Linked DNA regions of Coturnix japonica. The main gene of each other region encodes a partner of the protein of the gene in region 3 in a complex. Links are inferred from orthologs where the notes say so. Each region holds a gene or a part of one and is shown on either strand. Other genes may lie near its edges.

Region 1 (8,129 bases), on a different chromosome or scaffold from region 3:
ATTAAAAAGCAACTAACCATTAAACTTCATACTCCAAATTCCTCCCCATAGCTGCTCCACTCAAACCACTTTAATAGAAAACAAACCAGCTTTGTGCAATGGAGCTTGACCAGCTCAGGTTTCAGTTATACAGCTAGTAATACTGATTCCCTTTGAAAACATTTAGCACTGTTTTTTCCATGCATTTCAGTCACCCACATGACCACAAAACCACTGCACAGTTCAGCAAAATGGTACTTTCTGTTCACAAGAGGCCTCTGCTCTAGACAGTGGGAGAAGAAAAATTGCTATATCATATACCCTCCCCATTTTCAAGAGCAAATTAGAGGTAAGGCTTTCATTTCATCTCACAGCTGGCAACCTCAAGATCCTAAGGAGATAATTAGCTTCTATAAATATTCACATCTATAAATGCCAGCTAGATCTTGGCCAGAAAAGCATAAAAAAAAACAAGTAATAACCCTACAAAACCAGATCTGAGTTCTCCAGCTTACCAGATAGGTCTGATGGGGACCTCAGCTCCAGAGCACACCGGCTGCTCCTTGGGGATGAGAGAGCTGTGGATGGCTACAGCACCTTCATCAAATCTTGAAGCCTATTGGCCAATTCTGTCCTTAACTTCAAGTCAAAGGAATTGTGCTGAGACACTGAGTTCAGTTACCTTAATAAATGGAGATGAATCACATTTCACTCAACTCCGGACACCAGAGTTCAACATCTAAGATAGTCATCTGATGCTCTGTTTATAGTCAGTGGATGGAAGATGACACCTCCAGAGAACCCTTCGTCTGGTCTATTTTAGAACAAGGTGAATCCTCCCCATGTGATGACCCATGGCAACTCACTTAGGCTTGCGAGTCTTTTGCACACCTAAGCCAGGGCACCTGAATCTTAGTCACAAATAACATTGTAAAAATTCACAATTGTCACTTTTTCTTCTTCTTTTTTTTTTTTTTTTTTCCAGCATTTTAGGAAATGCTTTGCATCAAGCAAAGCACACACTGAAGGATTTCAGGCATGGCCGACAGCAAAAACTCTTTAATTCATGGCTCCCTTCCACCAGACATACAGAGCTTATGTTTAAGAAACACACATATTTCAGCAACCTACTTGCTATGAAAGTATTTTCTATTCATAAAGCACCATTTGTCTCTGTTGCTATCCAAGGAGCAGATGCATTAATGTTATCTTGTACCTTAACCTTTTCTTTTTAAATTTTATTTTCTGGTGTTTGTTTCCCTCATAATTTTGTTTAAATATACATCAAGGATTATGTTAAATTAAAAAAAAATAAAATGAAAAAGATTATATACACGTATATAACATATGTTATATTATACATAAGTTTATGGTACCCTTTCAGCAAGAGTAGAGATGTAGGGTGAAATACTTGGCATTAAGAGAGACAACGCATAACTTGAAGTAGAAGCCTCTAAAAAGTAATCTCCAATCAGATCCTGTGGAGGGAATTAGCACTTGGAGAACATTATGCGAGTCCCCAGAGCGATTTGTCCTCTGGCTTGGTTTCATCTGTAATGAAACCTGTTGATGCATTCTGATATGAAAAGTGCAACAAGAGTGGATTACTGGACGTTCACTGCAGAAGTACATTCCTGTTTTAACACACTAATGCATATGCACCCATGGCTCTTCCTCAGACTTATTTTCCCCAATTCCTATCAGGATTTTTATACCCTGCCATTTTGAAAGTGGTGGGATCATACACAGAGTTCATCTTATCTGCACATTTAAAAGATGAACAGCGGAAAAGAAAAAAAAAAAAGATATCAGCAGCACATAAGGAATTCATAAACCCTATTTGGGCAGCAATTGCATCTGTATAGACACGCTTAGATGGAATTGCAGCACACTTTCAAAGACTTACACACTGATCCGGGGAAGTTCTCAGATGTATGAGCTACAGGCTTCCAGTTGTGCTGCCCAGGATCCAAATGCACCTGCTCACAGGCACAGCACTGAAGACAAATACACTCATCCTAATGCACACATAGACAGGCACTCCTCCCTTGAGGTTAGTGGTTGTAAAATGATTTTATCCATTAGCAGAACTTGCAGTCCTTTACAGTACTACCCAGCAAGGTTAAACTGCAAAGAAAACATGCTAAGAAATCAGAGAACAAAAACCATCTGATTTTGTCATTGGGTGTTTTATGAATTTTTCTCATTTTAAATAACACAAGCAATTCAGAAAAAATGCTGGAGAATTTCCTTCCAAGGGCTCTCCTTTCCAGGCTGACAGAAGAGCACTCTTAGGGAATTAGCTCATATACATCCAACTTCTACATAGCAAGATTACATTACAAGATTGTTGTCACCACATGAAACCTTACAGATGTATAACTACTCTCCTGACTGTGTTTCTGTTGTTGTTTTTCATAACTATTTAAGTTTTTCCATTTTCAAAGACAAGGTTGTCACTGCTGCAAAGGCTTCAGTGTGTTTTTTTTGTAGCGAGGGGCACAAACCTGAACAGTTCTTGAGGCTCAGACCCACAAGTGCTTTGCAGAAAGCCTTGGTGCAACATTGGGGCCAAAAACTGCCTGAGGCCATGGTGTTGCAAGGAGCAGCATTGAGGCAAGAGGATTAAAGCTCCACGGTCATGTAGTGGTTGGTTCTGCCTTGGTAAGCACTGTGCTGAAGGGAAAAGCCACTGCTACAACAGGTGACAGAAGCCTCACAGAGTCGAACATCTTGAGGATGAGAAACAGCATTGAAATCTGTTACAAACCTCTCGTTTGCTGATGCCAGACTCGAGATAGCTGAAAATGAAGAGCTCTAAACATGATGTATTTAGCCCACGTACAATATGGCTTAACCCACACACAGTCTGGATTTCCCAGCAGTGAACAACATCAGTAGCTGAACTGCCTTCCCAAAAGCTGTAAGGAGCACCAGTGGATGCTCAGGAGTCAAAACCAGTCCCAGGAAGATGCAGTTGCTGCTTCCTTACATTGCAACCCTTGGACTTTTATTCAAACCAAACACACAACAGAGCATGAATTATGCCACTGGCATAACTGCAGTTCCCAGGAACTCATAGGAAGAAGATCTGCAGTTAACAAGGTGTTCTGGGAAGCGATAATTAGAACTGAGAACGTGAATCGTAAGTGGCTACACAGCCAGCCAGAACCAAGATGCAGTGCAACATGTGAGAAAAAAATCCACACAAGAACAACAATAAAACAGCCCATTTCTCTTCTCAGACATTTAATGGTCAGTTCTTGATAGTTTTCACATTTTAAAGATGATTTAAAAGCCAGGACTATAAAAGACCACTTATCACTGGAGCAGCCAGCTGTATTTCTAAATGCATGCAAAATGAGGCATTACATCCTAGGGAACTACTGTGACTTGCTTAGTGCCTAGGGGTTTCATAGGAGTATCACAAAATAATTGTAATGCTGTATGGAAAAAAGCAGAGATTATCACCTGACCGAAGCACGATATCACAGATCCAATCTAATTCATAACAAACACCACTTCATATTATAATCAGTTAGAACCCTAGAAATATTACGGTTGGAAAAGATTTCTAAGATCATCCAGTCCAACCATCAATCCATCACCACCATACCCACTAACCGCGTCCCTCCAGGGACAGTGACCCCACACCCCCAGGAGCAGGTGTTGCAAAACACCACGTCATAGAACCCACTAAAGGTGAGGATCACATCATTGTGCTTTTTCATAACACAAACTTGATCCAATAACAAACTCGTTTAACTGCCAAATATTAAGGCAAACTCCATAGCCCACATGTGTATTATTCAAGATGAGCAGAGAAAGGAAAAAAGAAACTGAAGACAAACACACTGGGGAACATGAGCAGCCAACATTTTGAAGCTTGCATGCCCAAACTGGTAAGTGTACAAGATGCAAATTCACAGCAGGCAAGAATTAATCGGATGATTCACAAGCAATGAAATGCTCTTGTTTGCCAGATTTTTGCCTTGACAAAACTAGAAATCATATAGACACACAGAACTGTTTGAAAGGATCCTTCAAGGCTATCCAGTCCAACTCCCTTGCAATAAGCAGGGACACCTATAGCTTGATCAGGTTACTCAGAATTCAGTCCTGCCCTCCAACCAATCCTGTATGCTGACTGTTAGACAGTTATCATCAAATGGCCCAGGAGGTTCTGCAGAATGGAGCTGTAAAGCAACAGTGAAGGAGTCTGGTTTATTTTATTTTAACTCTGCTTTTCATTGAAAAACTACGGACTAAAGAAAAGATGATATAATGGGCCTGAAGGTGAGAAGTTGTGCCCACTTACAGCATGTAAATCAACAGAACAAGGATCAGTGGAGAGAAGTAGAGCTCCAGCAAAGACAGGGATGTAGCTCACAGAACAAGCAAGCGAGCTGCAGAGAGCCGTTTCTGATCGTATGCTGGCATAAAAACTCACTTGGCATGGAAATATGTACTTTGTGCCTTTATAGCCTATAATTTACCAATGGTACTTGAAATAGACTATGGAAAGATGATCGGCAAGTTCTCTTTCCTTCTTACTATCTTAACATGAGAAAGCAACTGACAACGCGTCAGAGTTCCGTAGAATGAAGAAAGGAAAAACCCAACCCGTGAGTAATTGCCCGGAGCAGCGGAGGGGCAGGTGGATGCGGACTGCTTCCCTGCGCTACTCCCAGCACTCATTAACCTTCCAGCACACAGCGCGGGGCGGTACGGACAAGGGAACGCTCCTACGCGGGGCACCGGGCAGCGCTGCCAACACTCCCCCACACCAGCAGCGATGCAGAAGGGTGCGGGAAACGAGGAGGGCTGGCCGAACACGGCCCAAACGGCCACACCGAGGAGCAATACTACGAGCCCAGCGGGAAAAAGCACCACAACAGGGGGCGAGTCTCAGCTCTACGAGAGCAAAGCGGTGCTCGAGGGAAGCTCAGCCAGCAGAGAACACACCCGGGGAAGGCAGACACCCCAGCTCCCGGCCCGGGGCCACCTGAACCGAGTCCAGCTCCAGCTCCCACCTTCCCTCGACCTGCCGCGACGTGCAGCCGACCACCTACCTGCGGGGGTGCAGCTGCTGCTCCTCGAAGCCGCCGCCCGCCGTGAGCACGGCACAGCCGGGGGAGGGGGAGGAGAAGGAGGAGGCGGTGCACTCTGCGCGGCCCCCGGCCCGCCCCACCGGGACACCGGCAGTGCGGGGCCGCCGCCATTGGGCGCTCCCCGGCGGCGCGGGGGGCGGCGGCATCGCCTCCGCATTGGCCGCGGGAGCTGCTGCTCCGCCTTTCCCTGGCAGCGGCTCAGCGTTGGTGCCGACCTGTAGCGAGGGGGAGCCCCAGGGAGGTCGCAAATGAGCGTATGCAGGCTGTAATTTTTAGCCTCATCTCAGTGCCGAGGCTTTTAACGAAAGGCAACTTGGGGACACGCTCACGGGCACCGCGTACAAACACACGCGCAGGTGCTCGTGCACGCACCGCGCCCCTCAGCAGCTTTGAAGAATTGTTCCTGCGAACTGAGGAAGCACCACTTACCGAAGAGCTTCCTTGCAAATTGGAGCTTGCAAGCTGAAAAATGTTAATAACCGTAAACGCTATAATCATGCAAATCCTAACAGCCTTAATTAGTACCGGAGTCACTGAAGGCAAAATAAATAAATAGATGAATAAGTTCTGTAAGTTTAAAACCAGCTCACCTGACAAGAGCTGTTGCCGAACCAGGAATTCTCAAAGGAGCAGCAGCAGCACAGGGCCACCCTGTAAAGCACCGCGCGCGGCAGAGGGCGCAGCTGGTTCACCTCCACCAAAGCTTATCCTGCGTAAGTTCCCAAAGAGGCTACGCACAGTTCACTGCTGGCAGAGATCCATGCTCCAAGGGACTGCAGAAACTGTCAGCCCCTTCCCGGTTCTGGTCAAGCCTTGAGCCTCATTTCTTCTTTTTTACTTCTTTGTGTCTTCCAGACAGGATCAGAATTAGCCATTATAGGTTAACTTTACTCAGTAGCACTGAGGCTGTAAGCATGGTAGCAGGAGCGGTCAGCGGTCTTCAGTAAGAAGTTAGAATATACTTTTTTTCTCCTCTCATCAAAGTAGGGGTTTTTAAAATTTATTTTTAATTCAAACACTCCGAAGAGCCTTGTCTGCCTACTTCAGATAGCTTGGATTTGAAGAACAAAGGTTGTGTCCCTCAGTTTTCTGGTATATACCATAATGTTGCATATTAGCCATAGAAATACAGTATTCTCCTCCTGGTATTCTGATCTGTGATGCAGGCAAATTTAGCAGATGAGACTACAGGGTTAGAGATCATAACATAGATCATAACAATAAACAGAGGTACTGACCAGCTAAAGGCAAGAATCAGTCTGAATCCTATTTAAGTACACACACTCCTACTTTTTCTTTCTTTCTTTTTTTTTTTTTTTCACTCAGCAATGAGGTTTTGTGCTTTTTCTTTTTTAATATGGATATTTTCAAAGGGGAAATGATTTTAAGTTGAAGGAGAGAAGATTTAGGTTGGGTATCAGGGGGATACTCCTTATTATAACAGTGGTGAGGTTCTGGAACAGGCTGTCCAGAGAGGCTGTGGATGCCCCATTCATCCCTGGAGGTGCCCAAGGCCAGGTTGGATGGGGGTCTGGGCAGCCTGATCTAGTATTATATGTCCTAGTATTATATGCCCTGCCTGTGGTAGCAGGGTTGGAGATCCATGATCCTTGAGGTCCCCTTCCAACCCAGGCTGTTCTGTGATTCTGTGGTTATTTCATTTTAAAGATAATACTGCATTGCATTATAAAAAATAATTAATAATAAAAAATCTTAATTAAGCTCCTTTATTCCCACCCAAAACAATGATTCTCAAGCAAGTTTCTCTGCAGATTTAACTGAGTTACGTCAGTTCGCCAGGTGAAATATATTTCATTAAGAAAGGAAATGCCATTGTAACCTCTGGTGAGTGATTTAAGCCCTTGTAGCACCCCAGCAGAAGCCAGTCTCAGAACTGTATGGAAGCACAGACAGAACTACTTATGTTTTAAACACCAATGTGCACCTGCCACTAAATAAATAAATCTGTACTTCACTCACCTGTTTACACCACATCCCACAGAATACAGCCACACATTCAAGCATGTGCCTCAGCCCAGAGCTTGAGAGTACACAGAGCAGTAAGATAAAATACACAATATTGCTTGCTTAACTTCCTTGCCTTGTATAAAAAAGGATGCACATGAGAGGTCAGTTTAAATCCAATAACTCTGCAAAAAGGTGCTGTTTCCTTTAAGACAAGCTATCACCTTCATTTCCTAATCATAGACTGGGCATTTTCAGAAGAAAAGGTTTTGCTCAGGTATCCAGACATCTTTGTTTCATTATCTAAGAGTAAACTACTGTAATCAGTAGCCACAGAGATGGCTGTGATGTAAGCAAATGAGAAGTTTGTGGAATAGTAGAGCTATAAGTGCTATGGTCAGTGTAAGAAATAGGAAGCATTAAATGTTTCATTGTGAAAGTGAGAAGTGCAAGGACAGTTGAAAACTGCAAAGAAATTCATTCATATGACTTGAAAACTTCCTTCCTGTAGCTGCAGAAAAATCTCACAGTACCACAGAGCTCTCCACCAACTAATGAGATGCTACATTAGAGAAGTTTAAGAAGGGACTTTACTTTTAGTTCATAAAGTGATTTATTTTCCTCCAACTATTCACTTTCAGTATTTACCACAGAGGTTTTCAGTTTTGAGCCAAAACATAAATAGATAAGAGCTATGTTTTATAAGGCTGAACATACACCAGAAGCATTTAAAAATGTCTCTCATGAATTTATGAACCAAGAATGACAAAAATAGTGAAGAGCAAAGTTTCAGGGGCTTTTAAAGTCAACATACAGGAAAACAGTTAATATACTGTCATATTCACTAAAATAGTTAACTCAGAGATATGCGTTAACTAAGAGCCTCTTCTTTCTCATTCTGAGAAATTTCTGCCTGGTTATACCCTTTATCTTCTACTGAAGGCCATACTGCTAATAAGACATTCGGGAAGGCTATTTGTTTAGCAAAGTGGCAGAAAAAGCCAACACAGCTGTGCATAGTGAGATCACTACATTTATCTCACTGGGTTTGAATTCTCTTACTATAGGCACCTC
Region 2 (8,025 bases), on a different chromosome or scaffold from region 3:
GACTGATGAAAACCATTGTGCTTTGGGACATCCTGATGTGATTAGATATATATTGCAACAGTCAAAGAGATCAGCGTCACTGAGCACATTTAAAACACGGTAGTGCACGCTTCTAATATGTTGCACTTTAAGAGGACTAATATGCACATAAGTTACTTTTTCCTCCAACGCTGGTTTGTCACTATAACAACACTTCTCATGAAACAGCAGGAAGTCACAGGCTTTACCGTAATCCAGTAATCTATTAACTCCTTGTCCTTGGAAGGAAAGGGAGGGGGTAAAAGAGAGCAAACAGCGGCTTCCAAATCCCATTACAATTCAGATGCTCTAGTTGCTGTAGTTCAGTATGAGTTTAATCATCTTAAGCGTTCAACATGGATGCTTTTTTGCTTTTTTGCTTTTTTTTTGTCTAAACAGGCATCACACGTTCAGAAAACCAGTCTGTAGTAGGGTCAAGCATTAAGGCTTTCACCCAGCATTCCCCCATATGAAGTGAAAACTTCCTGGATGCTTGTATCTTAGTGACATTATGACAACTGCAACATCCATTTGGCAGTTCAGTTGGCAAGAAGACACCGACTCCTATCAAAAGAAAGCTTCAAGCTAAGATGATATGCAAAAACAGAAGTACAATAGAAGGCCGTTATGGAAAGCAGCTCTTCCTCCTTCTTTGCCTGATCAGTACTTAAAAAAACATTTTCTTGAACAGTATTTTTACACAGTAGACTTACACTCCCCTTCAGCAGAATAAGGCAGTATTTGCACCGAGGGATTACACTGTGGACTCTTTCCCACCTTAGTATACATTCAAATAACAGGAGAACAGTGTGAGGCTTATACAAAGTCACCCAGTTTAACCATCACAGCTAAATAGGACTATTCCAGCAACCTTAGCAAAACAAGCCTATATGTGCTCATTTAGTGATGCAAACAATGCAGTATTCTCTGCAGTAGTCTTAAACTTCCTCTTACTGGTCCTGATGAGCAGCCATTATCCAAAGGATTTCAAATTCAGCAGATACCAGTGACTCTAATGGAGAAGTTGGATGTTACACAAATGATCTCAGCTCTCATCTACTAATTATCATCTTTACCAACTTTTTTCTCCCTCTTACCATCCAGTAAGAATTAGAATTAATGAAATAACTCTATGTGAGGAGATAGAACTTCAATCCACCTGCTAGTTTTTATCTAAGGAAAAAAATAAATACAGCCCAAAGGAAAAGGAACAGTATCCATAACACACAGAGATCCTATATGGGCTTTAGCTCATAAGGTACTTCATCAGGGCAGCAGCGATGAGAGCTTCACCAAATTGGAACTTTAAAGTCTGGATGGCACTTCACTGAACCATGATTCAGTGCTCGAGCTCCACTACCATCACAATCTATTTTACAGTACAGCCATGACTTGCTACTTTCTCAGCAAACCACATTAAATAAGAGCTAACTACCTGCACTATCTTAACTAAGTGCTTTAGTTGAGCACTCAGTTTTCTTGTCTACTGTAAGCAGACTTTAAAAAAAATAAAAATAAAAATCACATATAAAGTCATTCTTATATTCAAAGAACATCTGTCATACAAGCTTTTAACACAGAGATCAAGAAGTTTATCAGATAAGCAGATAACTCAGGTGCCAGAAACATGCTTAGTTGACATGGGACCCACAACTTTTAATTGTTAAATAGAGACAGGCAACATCAGCTGTTACTCACTTGCATTCAGCTATTAGTTGTAAGAACCAAAAACTGCTGTCAAAGATCATTTTTGAAGCACTGCAATGGACTTGTAAAAATGGATAGACAAGACAGGCATTACTCCCAGATCAGTAATTTAATATACTTGTAACAGAATGATACATTGTTTAGAGCCACAGACACTGTAGGTACAAATGCCCAAGAAATAAAAGTTGCTGCATGACGAAGCATTTCTAAAAAGAAAAGCTCTGAATTTATGTAAGCGTCTCTTGAAAGTTTTATGCTGTTACCTTGGAAACATGCTCTGCATCCACCTAAGCACAGTTCACATATATCTACATTTTCAATATTCAGCAACAACTACGATGCAAATTCTCTATCTGTGTAAAGTCTTTCAGAAAGAGTCTTACATTATAATCTGAAGGGGCTGCAGACAAATTCAAACTTCAGTCATATATGGCAGAATTACAGAAGAGATAAATGAGTCAAAGCCAAAAGTAAGATGAAAATTGGGACTGCCAGCAGGTATTTTTCACATCAGTACAAGTGTCAGCTGCACTTGGTGTCCAGCTTCCCTCCCATCCAGAACAGGAACATTTTCTTATTTCGCATGTCAAAAGATCTTGCTTAACTGAACAGCGGTTTCTTTTTGTTCTCGACAAATATCTGCTCTGAAAAGGGAAAGGTGGAACTCAAGCCAGTACCAGTGCTTGTAAAGCACAACGTTTCTAGAGAGTGCTCTTAAGTATATTTGGGAATCTTAGATACAACAGCCCATGGTTAACCAGCAACACTTAAATCTCTCTAAACAGTAAAGATTCAGATGCCATTGAATAGCTACCACAGATCACCTACTGGTGGGAAATACCAGCTCTTTCACAACTATTTAGATTTAGAAGATGCATTACCTTCATTATGAAGATGAGAAAGATACAGAGGGGTAATTACAACCTACAAATTGCAGCCTCAACAGAGACAAAACAATCCAGAACCATCTTCGTAGGTTTGAACGATAAAGGGTTAACACCTTATTTGTTTCACAAATTAGTTACATCTTTGCTACTCTTGCAGACACTGCTAGCATGAATGGTTTGTTACTCAAATCGAACAGAGATGGTTGTTCCATCCATTCCTGCGCTGCTTACAAAATGGAAAGTCTGTGAGGAAATCAGTAGCTAATTTGTTCTATCCTTCTACCTCCAATCTTCTTATTCCACATCCTTTAACATAGGCTAGGTACCCCCAGAGCTTGACTATTTTCTTGTTTTCAGAGAAATCCAATAGAAGTGAATATAAGAGAGGAGAAACGTGTTAAGCAATAGCAAGACGTAAGAGATATTTGATGAACAGAAACCATAGTGCTTCTAGCCAAAGAGATGAAAGAAGTCATCCCAAAACAACAGTTACAAGAATGACAGGCATAAATTGGATGACAAGGTGAAACTGTTACAAATGTAGCAGGCATAACATAGTAATATACTTGCAGATCTCCAGGAAACATCTGGGTCAACCAGAAAAAGCTCAAGAGCACCAAAGTTGTCTTGAACTGATGAACATGTTCTGTACATGCAGAAGGCGGCTTACAGGAGGTATCCAAGGATTTGCAACTCAGTTCAGAAAACCTCTGCTGTTAAGAAGATCCAGGACCTTAAATTTACATGCAACGGTTCCTGTTTACATGACTGTAAGTCCAAATCACCTGAATTTAGTTGAATAAAACTGCACATCTAAGAGGTGTCATGTCATTGGTTGAATTTGCTCTGCAGCCTTTTCTGTTACTCCTGGAATAATTCCAAAGCCATCAACACAAAGCCCTCTGAAGCAGGAGCCTTCTCCAAGCCAGTTTGGTTATCCCAATACAAGCCCAGAGCACCATAACTTGCACTCTGAACAGCCACCAAATCCACTTCCATCCTTCAGAGTGGAGACTTTGGTGCCAATCCTTTTAGAATAGCCGCCTAGAGACACACCGGTGGACAAAACATATAGCCGTTTCATCACACCAACCACAGCGACCTTAGCCCTTCCCCAGGCAATTCTTGCCACATTGCACACTTAGATCTCTAACTCAGATTAATATTAACCTACTCTCACCTGCCATTCCCACGGCAGGGGAGGGTGCCAAGTACCCCCTAGCCTCCACAACCCCCTCCAAGCAGCAGCCTCCTCCCCCTCCTCTCCCTATAGAATGCCCTATACAAGGACGTCGCATCCCCATCCCTTAGGGGGCACCTACCGGCAGCCCTCTTTATCCGTTTTTTTTTTTTTACTGAGCAAATCCCAAGAGCTGTCTTCCGTCAAACCAGAATTTTAAAGGCGGCTTAAGCCAAGCGTAAACACAGCCAGCGAAGGCCCAGCAGAGGCCTGCTGCTTTCCTACGGTGCCTCTGAGCATCGCCAGCCGCCGGCAGGTCAGGGAGACCCGCGATGCTCCCCGCGGCACGGCACAAGCCCACCCACCCACCCCGGCCTCACTCCAACGATGGGCATCGACCTCCTCTCTCTGTCTCCCCCAACAAATGGGACCGCGGGGGAGAAGGAAGCACCGAACCGACGATATACACACGCAAATAACCCCCACTCCCGCATGGAAAGCCTCCTGTCTCATCACCCCCCCCCCCCCCCGCATCTCCCGCCGCCCCCTGGGGCGCGTCGCCATTTCGTGAGTAGATCACCGAGAGCGGCTCGCTGCGAGGGAGGGAGAAGGGAAAAGCACCGGGGAGGTGACAGGGGAGTCGGATGAGGGACGAACGCCCCGACCCGAAGCACAACAGCCCCCAACGACCGCCGGCCCGGCCCCGTTCAGCCCAGGCCCCGCCGCGCCTCAGCCGCCACTCACAGTTCCGGATATCGGAGATGAAGACGGCCAGGCCTCGCATCCCATCGCCCTTCGACACCGCCGGCATCGTGGCGCGCGATCAGGGCCGCCCAGCGACACGCCGAACCACCGCAACTACCACCGCCGCCGCCCGCTCACCCCGCGGGGCTCTTCAGGCCGCTGCAGCCGCCGCCTCTGCAGCGCGCATGCGCCGGGGTGGCTCCCGCGCCCCCGCGGGCGGCAGCGGGCGTGGCTGTGGCGCCCCCTGCCGAGCGGAGGCAGCTCCGCAGCGGCCCTGCCCTCTCCCGCAGCCCCTCGGCCGTTCCCGCAGAGGCCCGATCATCCGCCCGCCCCCCCGCAGCTGTGCTGCTGAGCCTTAATATCCCTCCACGGCCATCAGGACAAATAGGCCCCGACTGTAGGCCCTAAGCCCTGTCACAGAATCACAGAATGACCCGGGTTGGAAGGGACCTCAAGGATCATGTAGTTCCAACCCCCTGCCTGGCAGTGCCACCAAACACACACATTTACTAGATCAGGTTGCCCAGGGCCCCGTCCAACCTGGCCTTGAACACCTCCAAGGACGTGGCATCCACAACCTCCCTGGGCAGCCTGTTCCAGGGCCTAACCACTCTCCTAGTGAAGAACTTCCCCCTAACATCCAACCTAAATCTTCCCTCTTTTAACTTAAAACAATTTCCCCATGTCCTGCTATTGTCAGCCCTTTTGAAGAGTTTACTCCCCTCCTGGGAGTAAGTTCCCTTCAAGTATTGAAAGGCTGCAATGAGGTCAATACAGTTGACCTGAATTATGTGTGGCTCTTCACTACTCTTCTGGCTACCAGGGCATGCAGGTGCGCAAGACATGCTTCTTCTGAAGATCACAACCAAGCAGAGCAACACAGTCCCACACCAGAGAATTTGGACTGCATGGAGCATTTAATCTCATCAGCTGGAAATAGATTCAAAGAGCATCAAAACTGACCTAGTATGCCTAAACAACAGTGTGTTGAGAGGTTCAGCATACTTAATGCATTATAAAGACCTCTATAAGCATTAAGGAATACTAGAGACTGCTCATTTAATGTTTTCTTGCATCCTTCAAGCTGATAATTTTCATCTACACCTTCATCTTTTCCTTTTCTTTCCCATTTGCTTTTATTTATTTATTTTTGCCTGAATTGAGACCAGTAATTAGATTTTAGCTGCGGACTGTCTTCTAGAAAGGCATACAACCCTGATCTGAAACCACCAGTTTCAGTGTTTCCCTGGGTAGTTTGTTCCTGTAGTTTTATGTTCTGTTCTTAAAGCTTGCATCTTAAACTTGTAAAGCTTCAGTGCCTCCAAATAATGATACACTTTAACCTCATGTAGCAAGACCCACATAATATTTTCTGGTAATGGCTGTATATATGGCATAGGTCATCTCTCAATGGTCTTTTCCGTGTGTTTTCAGGATACATTTTTACACCAGTGCTTTGTTATTGTGTATCCATTCCAAAGAGAAGATTGCAATATCTGGTAGTCATCACTGTATCCATTTTCTTGTGCACAACCAGTCTTGATACAGATTCCCTGCATATGGAGGCTTACATGAAAAGAATTGACTTAATTCATAGCTTTACAATCAGACTGGATGCATAACAACAATCTTCAAACCACAAGACTTCAAAAATAGAAATCTTTCTCAAACAAACACACAAACATACTTGTGTTTGAGTTAGCCAAAATAAAATGTTGAACTAATAATATCTACTCTTAAAAAGCAGAGTGACACCTAAAGGCCGAGTGCATCAGTCCTGTGTGGCTGCATTCCTGTCACTGCAGCTGCAAGTTGTGCAGGCATGCTTAAAACTACCTTTAAAGAGGGAGCAGTGTCAGTTGTGACTGTGCTTGAAAAGCAAATACACAAATAGAGAACTCCTTTGGGGTTTTTCAGTAGTCAATCATTTCAATTCTAACTTAGTGCACACTATACATTATGTAGTCATTTTACATTCACCTCCTTTTACTGACTTTTGAGTATCTACCATGCATTTTGCCATCCATAAGTTCCTTTAATCTTCTTCAGAATTCCAACACAATTTGGTATAAAGACTTCGAAAAATTAGTCTGATCTTTATAAAAACTAATATTAGTAAGTTGGTGGTTTTCAGCTGGTGTCTGTTTGTGGGAAGTACAGCTTCCACTGCATTTCTTCTCTGCCTTAAAGCTGAGTGCTAATTTACAGACAGAGTTTAACTCTTGTTCTGGAGCTTTAAGTGCTTTGCAGTTTCAATTCCTATTTGGTTTCTACAGCCAAAACATGATTGAATTTTGAGTGTGATTACATATAATTATGAGGAATTTCAACACCAGAAATCATCCAACAGCCAGCAGGATTTACTGTCCATGCTGTGTTTAGTACTGCCACAGCTATTCTGCCACCTACAGCTACTCTTCAGCCCTATGTGAGTGTCTGCCAAAATCACACTCCAGAATAATTTGGACAGCACTGTGTTTAGGATATGAAGTCACACACTGTGGTATAGAGCCGTGTTGCCAGCTCTTTGTACCTCTGTAATGAATTTCTACACAGAAGAAGGAAATTCTTATTTTCCCTTTGTTATTTTTGACAGGATTGTCCCTCACTTCATCAGTTACTGCTTTCTTCTCCCCCTCATGGTCATTCTAACCATACTGGAAGGAAAAACAGCTAAAGAGAAAACAGAATTTGTGGCTCCTACTCAAGTGTACTCGATCTTGTTAATCTACCTGACATCTCAAGTTCATTATCTATGGATGGAGAGTATAGGTTTATCAGTAATGCCTTCTGCCATGTCAGAATATCAGATACTTTGCTTTTAAGATTAAGAAGCACAAAGCTCGGATAACACCACTATCATGAAATCTATCTCAATTTTCAGGTATGGATTTGCCTAAATCTCTTCTATACAGTGGGCAACTCAATGACTGAAAGAGTTATGCACTCTACTATGTTTATACAGAAGTGTAAAACAGAATAGTTACACTCAAAGAGCTTGGACAAGTTAAAATAAGGGTTAATAAAGAGTCTCCAGGTAAGTTGACCTTGCCCTCTGCATGCTGGCACAGTGCTGACAACCACCTGGGTGACTTCCTGCATTGCAATAAATTCTATGTTACTTCTTCTAGCTCATAGGAAGTCTTTTTCCCAATCTGTTTGTCTTAGTCATCTTTCTCTTAAGCCGCAGGCTACCGAATGAAGGTATGGGTTTAATTTCTTGCTGAGAAACCATTTTTGTTTCCAAACCTTTTTTCACTGAGTATGCAGTTACTCCCCAGGTAAGGAGCATGTTTCTGTTCTCCTCCAGGTGTCCGACAGTGCTCTGTTAAAGGAACAGTAGTGTACAGAAAAACACAGAAATTAAATAAAGATCCCCTTATCATTTGGATTTACTTAGCAGCTTAATCAGCCTTTCAATGGGACTCCCCAGTACCTGGCAGTGTACCCTTATATGTATGAGTTAAGAAGACCTGTGATTCCCTTACA
Region 3 (7,419 bases):
GTCACAAAAGGATCAGTGGAGGACTGTTTGAAAAAACAGTCAGCTGCAAAAGGATCTGAGCCTTTGAAGGGATCACCACCAAAGGGATCTAAAAAAAGGAAACATCTCATTAACAATTCTACTTGCTTTATTTAACTTTGCATCTTAAAAATGAAATGTTACATTGCTTCTTTCATTCTGTGAGAAAGTGACACATTTAAAGACAGATTTGATGCTTCAAAAATCCTTGATCTGTGAATAATCTGAATTCTATGGTTCAAACATCAGACAAACTGACATTTTCTGCACACAACAAAAACTATACTGTGCCAATAGTGGAGCAGAACCATGTAAATATATAGCTTCTCTAACTCAGCTCCCTTACAAAGAAACATTTTTATATAAACTAATCATTTTCAGAACTTTCATATTTTCTTCTCCTTCACTCCCTCAACATAACTGATGTTTCCTTATTTGACACAGGGTGCACCATGCTGTTTTGCCGTAGCCTTCCCACTCCCCATTTCCTTTTTGCCACTGGTAAAACTGAGCAAGTAATGCAACAACATTGCTTAAAGAAACAGTCTCAACAGATCTTCCCATCTTCTTCAATATTTGTGCTACAGAAAGTTGCTGAATTAAGAGTCTTTAAGAGAACAGTCCTATTCCTCTGCAAACAAAACATTCTTTGAATTTGAGGCCTTCCATTTACCACCTCCATATATTTAAATCCTCACTAAGAATACTTTCAAAAGCAAGAGAGAAGTTCCTAGGGAACAGGCTTCTCTGAAAAGGTTTAACACAAGTGGGCAGCTGCTACTGCTATATATCCATCCTACAGTGACTTTTCAAATCACTACCACCTTTTTCACACTGTAAGCGGTGACACTTTTCCTCCAAAGTACTGTTCTACTAGGAATCATTTACAAAAAAGAAAAAAAAAAAGAAAAAGAACAAGAAAAGAAGCATTAGAAGTTACAAAGTTGCTCACCAATTTTCCCAAAAGGGTCATCTTTGAAGGGATCACCTGTTGAAAGGAAAAAGTGACTTGTGGATTTTAAAGCATAAAGCTTGTGTACTGAGTTGAAGTCTTTTCCACAGAAACAAGTTTCTAGAGCTAGAATTGCCCTCACTCAGAGGAACTGTTTTATTATTTTTAGTGGAACAAGAGCTGATAACAAAGCAAATATTCATCACATAATTTATTAGCAGCACGAAGCGCACAATAACAGTCATCTGAAAAAGGCATCTCTGTTGGCTGTTCTCAGTGAAGACCCACATTGTGCAGTATTTACACCACAGTAACACAGGCTAACTACTGATGGAAACTTAGTGCCACTTTTGTTAATTCTCAGAGACACTGTGGATAGTAGCCGTCAAGTGTTCATTTCTATACTGGATGCAAGTATATATATATGCATCAGTATATTCCCTCAGTTCACATATATAAGGTCTTACAGCTCTAGATATCTACCTCTAAACAAACTGAGCACACAAAATCCAGAAGACTGATTAACTGACATATCTTTCTCCTCTGAAAGGAAGGCTGTTATGTCCCATAAGCAGGACTACTTCAATATGAACAAAAAAAAAAAAAACCACAATAAAATCTTTGAAGTTTTAGAACAACTTTTTAATTGAAAAAGGTGAACTAGAGCCTAAATCTTCATTGGCAATCTTTTAGAAGCCAAGTGATGCAAAATAAATTTAGCTTATTTAGCTGCATACATCTGCTTCAACAGTTAATCCAAATTAACTCTTCCCATATTCCAAGTGTCTCTATGCAGACAGATCACTCCTTCCAATGTTATAAGAAAAAAAACTGGAGCAACAGAATTCTTGAGCGGCAAGTTCTTAAAATAAAGCATAGCACTTCCACAGATGAACAGATGGTACAGTTCCACATTATCTTTTTTTGAGTGCCTAACTTGCCATAAGTAGGCCACAGCCATTCACTCTCAGCCACCCACACTCTCCCCACACCACAGTTCACTGAACCCTCAGATGACCTGTTTGTGACTCTGTGCTGCAAATTAGATCACTGACACCACATGTATCACAAGTATGCCCACACCTTTAATACCAAAATGAGACCTCCAGAGGGGAAAAAAATAAAAGAGGCACTCAGAGAAAAAAAACCACACAGGTAAAGCAAAGAGATACACCGTAGAACTCTCATTTATATTTCTGTACTGCTGTTGGCTCTTGTCACTCAAGTACTTTCACATTTATTTCATAAAGACTAGAAGTTTAATCTGTCACATTTTTGGAGAGAAGAGTGTACTTACTGCCAACAAAAGGGTCGGACTGGAAGAACTCTAAGCTTGCTTCAGAAACTATATCAGGCAATGGGTGAGATTCAGCATCAAATGGATCCTCCTGAAGAACCCAAAAGAAGCAAAGAAAGGTGTGAAGTCTGAGACATTTATCTCATTCTCTTATCATTTATTAACTTCTTAAAGCTGAAATGAGTTTGAATTCATCAAGACTCAACAGAGAGCCACAGCATTCCCCAGTAAAAATCAACCTGCTATATAAGATGAATGCATTTGTGGCATCATGCCCTAGTTATTTTGTGGGTTTTTTTGTTTTTACATTCATTTCTTCCTCCCTTAAATTTGAACAAACTCACTTTTCTTGTAACAGTTCCAGCTGGAGTCTCTTTGTCTTCTTCTGCAGCAGCAGTTGTTGTTTCAGGACTATTTCTTGGCTACGTAAGGATAAAAGCAATTCAATGTAAGTAAACAGAACACTACACTGCTTACTCCATTTTATAGAGCACTACACTGCTTACTCCATTTTAAGTACCAAACTGTTGTAAGGATATACTAAAGGATACCTCAAGAGGTTCATACTTAGAAAACACTGAAGTGTTTGATAAATTGAGACAAAGAAAATAGACATTTAAATAGCAAGACAGCATTCAGATTTCTGTACTATTCTTCATTCTATTTCTGCTGCACCAATTGGAAACAGCTGCTCATATTTAACATTAATTTTGCTCTTCAATTTATGACATTTAGCTTTGGAAACAAATGCACAAAAAGAATTCTGTTGCCTCTTTTTCTGTTTCTTTCTTATCAACTTCCAGATCTCTGGAATACTCCCTCAGAATAACATCCTGAAAGCTCACTTTGCAAATGCTTAAAAACAAAATACAATCAATCTTAATACATTCTTAATTTATTCCAACTTCACAGCTGCATTGCATCACAATTACACAGGCAAAACACTTTACTCACTGGGGATACGTTGTTTATTTGTTCATCTTCAGCTATGCTTTCCCTTTCAGCATTCTCATTAAGGTTAGCAGTTTCGCTGCTGCTGTTGCTGAGACTAGAATGATCCGCAGTTCCATTAACAAGTACATTCTGTGGCTGAGAGTGCCAACTAAATTGGTTACTTTCCAGTTCTTTCAGCTCAAGAAGTTTTGTCTGCACCTGTAAATGGAAATAATGCATGTGTATCAGCGCAGTAGTACATGGAAACTAGAATACAACTTAACCTTCTTAAATGTGAGATGGAAGGTATATAGCTGTAATTCTCATGCAAAATCAAGTACAATATAACTATAGAATTTCATAGAGAACTACAAAACTAATCTAGAAGAGATATGGTAGACCTGAGAATCTGCTGTGCCAAGGAAGCTGGCCATACTGCTGGTGATCACTGGCATTTTTTTCCTGTTTTTTGTATTTTAAATTATTATTTTTCCTTTTTTTTTTCCCCCTCCCTTTTCACAGTGCCTTACCGAATTGATTTCCTGTTGTGAATCTTGCAGATGTTGCTGAAGAGGTCCCAGCTGTGCTTTCCCAGACTCTATGCAATGCTCAAGCTCTGCAGTTTCTTGCTGCAGACGACTCAGCTCCTCTTGAGCTTTGGTCAGTTCATCTTCATATGCTGATATCTTTGTCTCCTGGCTTGTTATTTCAGCTTTCAGCATGGCAATCTAAAGCATAAACAAGGATTCCAAAGCCAAATTAGGAAAACAACAACAACAACAACCAACATCACCACACCAAAAATATCCCACACCTCCAAATATATCCAGCAAAGGCTAGGATTTATGACCAGATTTATGACCAGCTATAGCAGAGATTTCAGACCATACTCTACCAGAAGATTAATTTGCTATTTGTCCCAATGAGATTAAGCTGTTTTCCTGACCAATACAAATATTACTAATAGTAAAGATATATATATATATATAAAAACCACAACAAAACCAACTCTGAAATTTTATGTTAGAATTTTTTTTTTTTTAAATCCCAAGAAATCAGTCCTGGTAATTAGTGTTTCTAGTTACATATACATTGTGTTACACATTTATGTCATTTGTTTGTACACAACCTTACATGTGTGCAAACATATCTTATTGCAGTTGTTGGCGCACTGAGACATAAAGAAGTCAGTGAAATAACTGATGTCTCTGCTGGTCACAAAATCCTGAAACTCAGCCTGTTTAATCTTGAAAGATTTTTCTCCTTTCCCAACCACCACAACACACTGCAAGCATGCAATATTCAAAATGCAGCAGTTCTCCTTAAGGGCTGAAGCCACTAACTAGACCTTACCAAGTGGGCCTCCTCTGCACATTTCTGCCTGATATCATTGAGTTGCTCTTCCAACTTGGCCTTCTGCTCATCAAGATCATTGAGTATTTCCTGTGCTTCCTGTTTCTGAGCTTGCAGCTTTTGCAGATTACTGCTCTCCCGTTTTACTTCATCTTGTAGATCCTGTGATAGAACAGATTAGCTTTGCCTTTGTTCACTGCTCCTCCTCTGATCATTAACTTTCATAGTATAAATTGTGGTGATGATCAGTCAGATTTCAGAGTATCAACGTGTTACCTTTCAAAGGCTAATATTTCACGTGCATCACACAAGCTTTAATTCTAAGAGAAAAATAGTTATTTGCTTTTTCTTTCATTAAAAAAAAAAAAAAACCACAAAAACAACCCAATACATTAAAATTTCATTGAAACACTGAAGATCATACCACTAATCAGAGATTACAACTACATAATCAGTGGGAGGCAAGCTTCATTTCTGAATCCAGAAGTCATCCTTTGTTTAGGCTGCTACATTCTCTCTTCTATATTTTAGCAATAAGTTTTATTGAGCTCCTCAGTAACTGAATTCTTTATTATGTTCCTTTCCCCTCAGAAACACACACCAACAATACAAACTCATTTTAGTAGCAAGGTGAAGAAAAAAATCAGTGCCTTATTAATCCAAATGATTTCCCCTGCCTCCAATTTTTGCTGAAATCACCCCAACTCTTTTTTGTTTCCAAGTAACAGTCCTGGTAAGAAATGTATGTTCCATATATGAAAACATGGCATGTTTTGTTCTAGGGAACAGCTGTGAATAAAATATAAGATACAGAAAGTAGCATCATATGGTAATTAGTTCATTAGTTCATTTCTGAGCAACAATAATGGTTGTACTTCAAACTGCAGAGATAACACTGGGAAAAAAAACAACATCCAAGACAAGAATCTAGCAAAAACTGTCAAAGTCAAGAAGAAGTAATACAGAGGGATCAAAAAAGGATTATTACAGAAGCATTTGATGAGAGAAGACTGCAGTCTTTCTAAAAAAAAAAAAAAAAAAAAAAAAAAGAAAGCAATTGAATGAAGAATCATATTCAAAAATAAATAAAGAAAGAGAGATTAAAGAAAATTTAGGACAGTCAGAAAAAAAGCTGACATTAAATTCTGATAAGATCATGTATTTCTGTACTGTTCTAAGGCAAGAGTCTGTTGTCATTTTTAGGTGATTTCTTTAAATTACTATCTTTTTTTAAACAAGGGGAGACGGTAAATCCATATCTGTTAACACCTCCAGTTAATCAGGACAAAAAGAGATGGAAACAAATGTATATGGCGCAGCAGTCAGATGCTCAGCAAAATGGGGAACCTCAGGACAATCAGAAGACCACCTAATAAAAAACCCAATTATTTTATTCAAAGAAAAAATCAAAATCCATTCAACTACTTCAGGATTAAGAGCTTAAATTTTATGCCTAACCTACAGCAGCCAGACTAGATGAATTGTTGATTGCTTCTGATTTATGGAAAATAAATCAGTATATGCAAAAAGCTCTGACAGCATCAAGTGACTTGGACAACTGGGAAAGCATCCTGATCCATTCTGTTTTTTCATGACTTTGAATACAAATACCATCTGACTCTCAACATAACAACCAGGCTGAGGGATGGAAATAACAGCTCCTTTCAGTCACACACAGAAACAAGCTAAATATAAATGACTTCCAGTCTTGCTACTGTTTCTGTTGACTCCCAATGTCTGCACTAGCCACAGCCATAGAGAAGCACTGAGGAGACCTGACTATACCTGATATCTCCAAAATAGATTTCCTTACCTCCATAGATACAAACATAAATTGTGCTTTTTTTTTTTTTTTTTTTTTCCAGGAGTTCCACAGGTTTGTTCAAAAAAAACCTTCAATATTCCACTTAAAACTGGAAACAGACCTATTGACTTCATGTCAGTAGAACTCTAGGGAATTTTATTCTAGGTATTCTTTCCCAATCATAGTTGGGAAAGCCAGAACAATCACCATTTATTTCAGAGTCTCTGCAGACACACTAAGAATCCATACACATACACATGTAAAGTGCGTGATGGAGGATTTGAGCCTTGGGAATGTGGAAATAACCCCATAACTTGAGGCACTGCCTACTGGCTGAGGCACTCTGTGCTCCAACCAGCACTTGGGTCTTGATGAGCAGCTTGGTGACAGCACAAGGGGATGCTTTGAAATGATACTTGTGTGGTCAAAAATTAGTGTTTTAGTGATACATCAACTCTGTAAAACTGAATTATCTTCTGACAAGAACATCTTGTATCTGAGTTTCTTATCTCTGTTATTTATAAGAAAATGAAAACTCCATCACAGAATAAATTAAAAAATGCCTCAGTTTCTCAATCTTTGCTATTCTACTCATTATCTCTTATGAAAAAAACAGCCTTTAATCAGTGCTGATAACACTTTAATAAGCATTAGAAAATATCAGTTTGTTATGTTTTCCCTACAACTCTTTTTCCATCTCTTCCCCTTAGACTCTATTTGTACAGCACATACATTATTTCACAGGGGAAAACAATTTTCTATCTCTTCCCCCATGTAGAACTGTTCACAAGCCTTTGTGAGATTATAATTTATGTCAGTGGATATAATCCTGGTATCATGAACCCCTCCATGTGATGCCACCACATTAGCTTGGTCAAAAGTGGCAGGTTACAACACAGTTTGTGCAAACCATCTTTAGAAATATTACCATAAGAACATCAGAAAAAAACAATAACCAAACAACAGGATGTAAAGATATTCTTTATCTGCCACTGCTATTCTGTGAAGTTCTAGAAAGTTTCATGTAACATGTGGGTCCTCCAACATTAAGGAACAAGGAGA

What was found.
Region 1: the proteins of EPS15 (region 3) and STON2 are in contact, whole or in part, in an NMR structure (PDB 2JXC), measured with the Homo sapiens proteins. The link is inferred for Coturnix japonica from reciprocal best matches to the Homo sapiens genes EPS15 and STON2. Residues at the interface, in NP_001972.1 of Homo sapiens: Leu139, Gly148, Lys152, Pro153, Val154, Leu155, Leu156, Asn157, Ser158, Lys159, Val162, Asp163, Leu165, Gly166, Arg167, Trp169, Glu170, His176, Gly178, Met189, Val192, Tyr193, Leu196, Glu197, Lys198; in NP_001353779.1 of Homo sapiens: Trp309, Arg310, Ala311, Thr312, Asn313, Pro314, Phe315, Glu318, Gln321, Asp322, Gln324, Pro325, Ser326, Ile328, Asn329, Pro330, Phe331, Phe334, Phe335, Glu337, Gln338, Glu339, Arg340.
Region 2: the proteins of EPS15 (region 3) and AP2A2 are in contact, whole or in part, in a crystal structure (PDB 1KYU), measured with the Mus musculus proteins. The link is inferred for Coturnix japonica from reciprocal best matches to the Homo sapiens genes EPS15 and AP2A2. Residues at the interface, in NP_031969.1 of Mus musculus: Asp629, Pro630, Phe631, Lys632; in XP_006536218.1 of Mus musculus: Phe442, Phe443, Trp446, Lys447, Asp487, Pro488, Val494, Arg511.

What each region holds. Positions count from the first base shown.
Region 1 is NC_029520.1:37,157,655-37,165,783, forward strand, and holds the start of STON2 (stonin-2), read right to left. Parts: upstream 5,164-8,129; 5' UTR 5,052-5,163; intron 651-5,051; exon of another isoform or gene 495-650; intron 1-494. UniProt on the Homo sapiens protein: Adapter protein involved in endocytic machinery. Involved in the synaptic vesicle recycling. May facilitate clathrin-coated vesicle uncoating.
Region 2 is NC_029520.1:9,439,626-9,447,650, reverse strand, and holds the start of AP2A2 (AP-2 complex subunit alpha-2), read right to left. Parts: upstream 4,725-8,025; 5' UTR 4,604-4,724; coding exon 4,537-4,603; intron 1-4,536. UniProt on the Homo sapiens protein: Component of the adaptor protein complex 2 (AP-2). Adaptor protein complexes function in protein transport via transport vesicles in different membrane traffic pathways.
Region 3 is NC_029523.1:21,488,874-21,496,292, forward strand, and holds part of EPS15 (epidermal growth factor receptor substrate 15), read right to left. Parts: intron 4,716-7,419; coding exon 4,554-4,715; intron 3,929-4,553; coding exon 3,731-3,928; intron 3,420-3,730; coding exon 3,222-3,419; intron 2,690-3,221; coding exon 2,612-2,689; intron 2,359-2,611; coding exon 2,268-2,358; intron 1,007-2,267; coding exon 971-1,006; intron 89-970; coding exon 1-88. UniProt on the Homo sapiens protein: Involved in cell growth regulation. May be involved in the regulation of mitogenic signals and control of cell proliferation. Involved in the internalization of ligand-inducible receptors of the receptor tyrosine kinase (RTK) type, in particular EGFR.